Rattus norvegicus: one gene and its partner. The protein of the gene in region 1 binds, or shares a complex with, the protein of each later gene. Links are inferred from orthologs where the notes say so. Each region holds a gene or a part of one and is shown on either strand. Other genes may lie near its edges.

Region 1 (3,560 bases):
CTTCTTTTCTTTTCTCTCTCTAAGACTTCGTGCAGTCTAATCACTTGTCCAGGTAGAAGTGACACGTGTTGAGGAACTGACAACTGAAATCAGTTAAAACAGTAGGCAAACTAAAACTGCAGCTGAATAGCAATACTGTCTTTAATAGAGAGGAGCCTATGTGTAGTGACTGACTATCTAGCCACTGCCAGAGACAAACGGACAGGACAGTAAATAGAAGATTCCAGTCTAACATGGGCATTACAGTACTGCCCCTATACCAACTAGAACCTGCACAGAGTATTTACTTGCTTGCTTGCTTGGTTTAGTTAGGTTATATGTTTTGTTTTGTAACAAACTGTCTCTCTATGTGGTCCTGGCTGTCCTAGAACTCACTCTGAACACCAAATTGATACCAAATGCACAGAGATCTACCAGGTGCTGGGAATAAAGGTGTGTTAACACCATGCCTGGTCGAGATCATATTTGATCTGGTCTCAGGGCAAAGTGCATACACTTTTTACTATGAGCTAAGTAGCAACTAATCTCTCAATCTTCCTTTTCTTTTTGGGGGGGGGGCGGGCGAGTATTTTTTTGTTTTTTTGTTTGTTTTTTTTTTGTGGGGGGGGATTTTAAGATAGGGTCTCTCTGTATGGCCCTGGCTCTTCTGGAACTTGCTCCGTAGACCAGGTATTTGCCACCAACACTCAGCTAATCTCTCATTTCTCATCCTGAACTCAGATACCTCTGCAATGCCTAGGAAGTTTAGGATCTCCAGGAGATTCCTTATTCTCACACTAGTTAACTTGGAAAAGCTCCACACTATTGTGACAACATGGATTTGGTGGGCATAGGATCAACAGGTTTACACTGTGCTCTGTGTCTAGCCACCCACTCACATTTGATTCTTCTCTGCATATTAGTTTTGTTGTTCTCTAGAAATGTGTTTTGAGTTCCATTATCCATGTAAAGTCTGGTTAATTGTATCCACATCTCAAAATTTAGTTGGGAACAACCTATGCTTTCTGGGGAAGTATGGTACAACATTTTTCTAACTGTCATGTTAGCTAGCCATGGGGGCAGCCATGTCTTATAATTGGCCACCAGAACAAGAGTACTCATCAGGTGATATATGTGCGTGCATGCGTGTGTGCATGCGTCCAGTCCCATGCTTAGTTACTATTTCATTAATTCCTATTGTTGTGTATTCATTGTTAAGACTCAGAATGAGGCTCTTGGGACTCAGGAATGAGGATTGTAGTCTGTCAAATAAAGCAACAAGGGCAGCCCATGATCCCTGGGCTCCTCTGCTAAAGGCCTAAGAACATTATGGTAGTTGGTTCTCTTGTTACTACTACCTTTTCTAGCAGTGTGGTTTTGATTGAATCACCCAACTATGTCCTAGTAAATTGTTCTCATATCCAAGTCTAGTTCCTCATTATGCCGTTTTGGAGCAGTATCAGAACAGTGGAACATTTTAACAAATCATTTACAGACTGTGAGTTCATGCCATGCCCTAAACATTTACAGAGCAGAAAATCATAGATGAAGGTGATCTCTCTCATCCCTTGCCCACCAGTACTAATTACTTCAGAGTAGTTATCATAAGGTGAAATAGGCTGTGCTTAGTAACAGCACTCATAACCCACCAGATAAAATGAGATAAAAAATATGACTTTTAGAAACAAAAGCATGGATTTCTATCTGCCTTTTCTAGTTTCTACATCCCAGCCACTTTAATGTACATGGTTGCAGCAGGTGTTAACAACTAGTTTACAACCAGGTGGAGCAGCAGACTTTAATGAGCTTCTGTGGGCATGGTGACTCACAGCGCTAATCTTATCACCTGGGAGGTGGAGACAGGAGAATCATAAGTTTGCAACCACCATGGGCTATTGACACCTTGTCTCAGCAAAAGAAGCAGATGGCCCCCTTACCTCTGTTACTGTAAGAATGAAGCCCCTCCATTCTTCCCCACTTTCTGTGTTTTCTGTCTGGAGATAAAGCAGAAAGCACGAAATTAATGAATGATCTGTATTAACTTTAAATAACAAGAATTTCACTGGATTAATTTCTGACAATGTAGGTTTGCCATCAAAGGCTAGCAAGATCTCGGGTCAGAGTGGTGGCTCTTTGGCTAAAGCATTTGCCAAGTGAGCATGAAGGCCAGAATTTGGACCTCTAGAACCAAGAAAAATGCCAGATGCACGTGGCAGCTTAACTGTCATCCCTGTGCCTAGAAGGAGCAGATGGAGGATCTCTAGAGCAAGCTGGCTAGCTACATTCGTAAAATTGGGAAGCCGTGGGGTCCTTGTGAAAGGTGTTGTCTCTATGTATAGGATGGAGAGTGAGTGAGAAAAATGTCTGCTGTCAATTTCTGGCCCCCTCATACATGAAGAGAGAGAGAGAGAGAGAGAGAGAGAGAGAGAGAGAGAGAGAGAGAGAGAGAAGCAAGATTTTCTTCTGTTCAGGAACTTTGTTAAATAGGATCATTTGAAAAATTTAAACTGCATAAAATCAGCTTCATGGAGAAATACTTCAATTTTTTTACTTAGAATTAACATATTTATCATGAAATATTTCAGTCCCGTTTTCTTTTATTGGCAAGCAAAAATATAGGTGACTGGAAGCGGGATTGCTCGGTGAATGAAGCATTTGTCACACAAGTGTCAAGACCTGAATTCAAGCCTCGAGAAGTCGCAGAAAGTTGGGCACACTGAGACATATAATCCTAGTGTGCCTCTGGCAAAATAGGAGGTAGAGAGAGGAGAATCTCTAGAAGCTATTCCCAGCTACCTAGCATTCTCAGAGTCAAACAACAACGTGACCGTAACCCAGAGTGCATCTATCTATGCACTCCACAGGTATTACCTCCTTAATCATATTGAAGAAAGGTTATGTGTGGCCATTGCTTGCTAGGTTTCTTCACTGAGGTCCCAAATGATCCTCACTAGAAATAAAAATGGAACCGTCTTTGCTGATGTTCCACATCACTAAACCAAAGCTAAATGTTATCTTGCCTTCTTAAGAGATCAGTTAAAAAAAATAACAACCACATTTCCCATACAGATCAACTTCAATTTGTTTCCTCTGTGTCCGAAAAAAAGTAGCCCGAAGTAACCTGATCGCAATCATTTTTCTATCATTTGTCTTTCTGTTTTTACCTACAATGGAAGCTTTTGAAATGAGCAATTAACCTTACTACTGGTTTTAAATTTGTTTTAGTTTCCCTTGTCTGTAAAATTAATTTCTTCTTTTCAGCTAATTGAAATATTTTATTGTGTGGAATAAAACACATCTGGTTCTTTAGTAGGCTATAAAACGAATTAAGATCTTTCTATGTTATGGTGTTGTAAGTTTATCCTTTGAAAATCTTCAAGGAGACTTAGCAAGAGATGGCGTTTTTATTATGCTTTTTTTGTATCCGTTCAATTAAAAGATACATATCTTTAAGTGTAGATATTGGAAACAAAATAAAAATTCTCATTCTCGTGGAGTTTGAAATATAGCAAGGAAAAATAAATGGCTGGTGTGACAGTACATTTGATTTTGTTGGAAAGAAACAACTAGGAACAGTAAAA
Region 2 (4,174 bases), on another chromosome or scaffold:
AACCATGACGTGGCAAGATGGCTCAGTGAATAGAGGCATTTTCTGTCAACACAGTCTGAGCTCAATCCCTGAGACCCACGTGGTGGAATAAGAACCAACTTCAGGAGCTGGAGAGATGGCTCAGCGGTTAAGAGCACCTGACTGCTCTTCCAGAGGTCCTGAGTTCAAATCCCAGCAACCACATGATGGCTCACAACCATCTGTAATGGGATCTGAATCTGTTCTTAAAAAAGAGAGAGAGAGAGAGAGAGAGAGAGAGAACAAAGTGGAAGACACCAAGACTGACTTCTCGACTTCCACCACCACCCACAGACATGCACACAGAGGCAGCTTGTCTGTCTATCCAACTGTCTCTGAAACAATGGTCCTTTGTCCCGTCTGCCATCTTTGTGCCTGTCTTCCTGTCTCCCATGTGCCTCATCTTTTTATCTGCCCTAAAGTAATAGTTCTATGGGATTCACTCTAGTCTCCGTCTCTCCAATGCCTGTGGAAGGACTCTTGTTTCCTCTTCCCCGTGGTTGTCTGTCTACATCTGGCTCTCCCTCTTCATGATCCTCTCCTGACCTGCATCTCCCCATCTGTGGTGTCTGACTGGTGTGTGTGTGTGTGTGTGTGTGTGTGTGTGTGTGTGTGTGTCCCTCCAAACTTTCCATCTGTCCTGTCCACTTCTGTGTGTCCATGTGAACTCTTCGAGTTGAGTCTCCCTTGTCCCTCACTGTGCACCTCCCTTCCCCATGTTCCGTGTAACCCGGTTCTGTACCGGGGCATGTGCTGTGCGTGCTGGGCTTTTCAGTCCTTCCGTGCCCTTCTCTCACTTCCCATTTCTCCTGTCTGTTTCTGTTTTCTTTTCTGCCCCTCCACCCCCATGGGTGTGTGTGTGTGTGTGTGTGTGTGTGTGCGCGCATATATGTCTGTGCGTGCTTGCCCACATGCACGCTGCACATATGCCTGTCTGTGCATACATGTCCACGTGCATCCAGAGACCTAGCCGGTATCAATTTTCTCTCACTACATGGTTTCAGGTGATAGAACTCAAGTTGTCCAGCTTGGTGGAAAGTGCCATTATCCAGTGAGGTTTTTTTCTTTTTTTGAGACAGGGACTCACTGTGCAGTTGTCCTGGCTGGAACTAACTATATAGACCATGCTGGCCTCAAACTCGGAGACCGACCTGCCTGCTTCTGTTTCCCAAGTGCAGGCATTTAACGACATGCACCACCATGCCCTGCTCTTCTCTCTCTATCTTTTTCTGTCTTTGCCCCACCCCCTTTGTCATTAACCACCCTAGTAGTCTGGCCGAGGCGGATGTAGAGGGATGATTCAGTAGTGACAGGAAGCCAACTGCCTTGCCCGCTGCTCGCCAGAGTCAGTGGTGCTGTTGGCATCAGCCTGGGCAGGTGTGCGGGCACAGGATGAAGTGGCCATGGTGAGGAGCCCTCATTCTCAGGTATGTCTTCTCCAGGGGTACTCTGCTGAGCAGGTGTCCCTTGCACTGCAGCCCCCAAGACCCTTAGCAATAGACTGAAGAGAAGCCAAGACATCTGGTACCTTCCGCCCCGGCCTTGCCCTGTGGCCCTCTCGGAAAGTCTGTCTCGGGAGCTCCAGGCGCCTACTTATCTATCATTGTCTTTCCAAACCCCTAGCCTCTGAGACTCCCAAGAAGCCCCCTAGGGTGGTTCTGTCACTAACAATGGGAAGGGCCAGCCAAAAGCCAGAGATGTGAGGCTCTCCCATCCATGGAGGATTGGCTAATGCCACAGGCCTGGGATGCTTTGGGGAACTGTGCCCAGTCCCTGTCCCACCCAGGGGGGAGTTGCTATCCCCAGAAGTCCATCCAGGCCTGAGCTGGCTTCTACCTTCTGACGGATAATCCTTGTAGCACTGTTGGGCTCCTTGGTTCTGGTTCTGAACGGGTGGCTCAGGTTGGCCAGGGTCTGCCAGACCTCGGCCCGCGGGCATACTCACATAGACGCGAACAATCTTCCTGGCCCCTGGCTCCAATAGGTTTGTTCAGTCTTCTCTCCACCTCACTCAAAGCCCCAGATTATTTGGTCAGCCTGGGTTTTATAGGCTCCTGTAATTACGGCATTAGGAATCCTGCAGTAGAAGGGCGGTGAGTTCAAGGCCAGGCTGTGCTGCATTGTGAGGCCCTGCCTCAAAGGAAACAAACACTACAGAAATGTTATCCAGCTGAGACCACGGGCCTCAGAGTAGCACCCCATGAATAAAGCCATCCCAGGAGTGAGGTGCGTCCTGTGCCTCGTCCAAGCGGACCCTCGTGGCCTCTGCTCCCCGAAGGATGAGCCTTTTGACTGCAGTGATCACTAAGGGCCATTGAGGTTAGAAGCTCTGATGCAGCCCTCAGAGGCAAGCTTTGTTCATATGAAAACTGCCCACTTCCCTTTGAGCTATTTTGGCCCACGGAGCCACAGAGCTGTGGCGGTCCCCCCCCCCACACCCACAGCTAGCCCTGCCTGGCCCCTTGGGGCTCTTCGAGACTGCTGGGCTGCCCCTCCTGCAACCCCAGCCTCTGTCCCCCACACCCTCAGCCTGCCTGCTGTCCTTCAGGGTAAAGAGCATCCGATGGGATGAAGGGAATTCACCGCGCCTGCGCTGGGTTTCTGTCTTTTCCGGTGTTTCTTTGGGACACAGTATGCGCCTCTTTGAACCTCCATTTGCTCCCTGGGAAGAAAACAGGCTTGGAGTGGTCCCCAAGTGCGAAGCAAGCCCCAGACCCTGTCCAAGAAGCACCCCATGCACTCACACCTGCTCTTTTTTTTTTCTCAATATTTTAATACATTTTAAATTACTGTATGCATGGATGGGCGCCTGTGTGGCACAGCGTAGGCCAGAGAATAACTTGCAAGAGTTACTTCTTACCAACCACCATGTGGGTCCTGGGGATCGAACTCAGATCATCAGACTTGGAGGCAAGCGCCTTTTACCTGCAAGCTATCTCACCAGCCCCCATTCAGAACCTTTTTTTATTCGTCTGCATTAATTATGCAGACTAATAGGCTTATGACCTTTCCATATGGCACGTGCCTTGATCATGTTCACCCCAAAATCACCTCTCTTGTGATTCCCACTGGTCCCTTCTCTCCCAACTAATCCCCTTCTGATTTTATGTTCTTTTCTTGGGGGTTGGGGATGGGGGTAGTGGCCCAATGAGTTTCATTAGCTTCATGTAGTTTCATTACAAGATGTGAGTGAGGGGTTACCCACAGGAGCACGGGCATCTTACCATTGAGGAAGCGTGCTTCCTCTCTCTCTCTCTCTCTCTCTCTCTCTCTCTCTCTCTCTCTCTCCCCCCCCCTCCAGCAACCTTTCTTTTTTAATTATTTAAAATATTTAAGTAAGTTGGAATATGACGATGCAGCCTGGGAGGCAGGCGCAAGCCAGATTCTGTGAATTCCGGGCCAGCCTGGTCTATGCAGTGAGGTGTTAGACCCATCAGGGCTACGCAGTGACCCCCGGTCTCCAAACCACAATGTATGTGTGTGAGCACTTTGCTTGCACGTACACGTGTGTACCCCATTCATGCCCGGTGCACACAAAGACTGGGACAGGGTTGGGTCCCCTGGAGCTGGAGTTATAGATGGTCGTGAGCTGCCATGTGGGCGTTGAGAGTCAAACCTAAGTCCTCTGGGAGAGCGTCGCGCTCTTGATCTCTGAGCCATCTCTCCTGCTCACCCTCCCCCAACTTGCCCCCTCCCCCCCATGCTGGGAATGGAGCCCAGTGCCTTGCCCTTGGCTCTGTAAGTGTCTATCTTCTTTACTGGGTGATTCTAGCAGACAGGTACTCCTAGTCGTGTCCGCAGCCTCATGCTGCTAGATTCTAGGCAGTTGCTCTCACTAAGCCACACCCCCTGGGGGCATTCTAAGCAAACGTCCTAGAATGCCCCCCCCCAGGCCTCTTTAAATGTTTTGTGGCAGAGTCTCATTGGATTTGAACTTGCAAAATAGCCCAAATAGACCTTGGAATTCCCAATATCCCTGCTTCAGCCTCTTGTGCTGCTGGCCTGCTCCACTAGATCAGGCGTATCTACTTCAGTAACCCCTCAGACCCCACTGGGGTCAGTAGAGGGAATCCACATGTCCCTCTAGCTGTCACCAGGCGGATAATATAATCCCTCAGTCTTTGCTGCAGGCCAAGTCCCTTCCCATGTCACATGG

What was found. The genes of interacting proteins can lie anywhere in the genome.
Region 2: the proteins of Stap1 (region 1) and Lat2 are in contact, whole or in part, in a crystal structure (PDB 3MAZ), measured with the Homo sapiens proteins. The link is inferred for Rattus norvegicus from reciprocal best matches to the Homo sapiens genes STAP1 and LAT2. Residues at the interface, in NP_001304698.1 of Homo sapiens: Arg184, Arg203, Pro204, Gly205, Ser206, Ser212, Ile215, Gln217, Ile219, Lys225, His226, Tyr227, Lys228, Glu239, Leu240, Glu241, Tyr255, Phe256, Glu259, Thr260, Arg261, Asn263, Leu264; in NP_054865.2 of Homo sapiens: Asn134, Ser135, Tyr136, Glu137, Asn138, Val139, Leu140, Ile141, Lys143.

Annotation. Positions count from the first base shown.
Region 1 is NC_086032.1:22,322,518-22,326,077, forward strand, and holds part of Stap1 (signal-transducing adaptor protein 1), read right to left. Parts: intron 1,974-3,560; coding exon 1,917-1,973; intron 84-1,916; coding exon 1-83. UniProt on the Homo sapiens protein: In BCR signaling, appears to function as a docking protein acting downstream of TEC and participates in a positive feedback loop by increasing the activity of TEC.
Region 2 is NC_086030.1:27,739,349-27,743,522, forward strand, and holds the start of Lat2 (linker for activation of T-cells family member 2 precursor), read left to right. Parts: upstream 1-1,366; 5' UTR 1,367-1,421; coding exon of another isoform or gene 1,422-1,445; intron 1,446-4,174. UniProt on the Homo sapiens protein: Involved in FCER1 (high affinity immunoglobulin epsilon receptor)-mediated signaling in mast cells.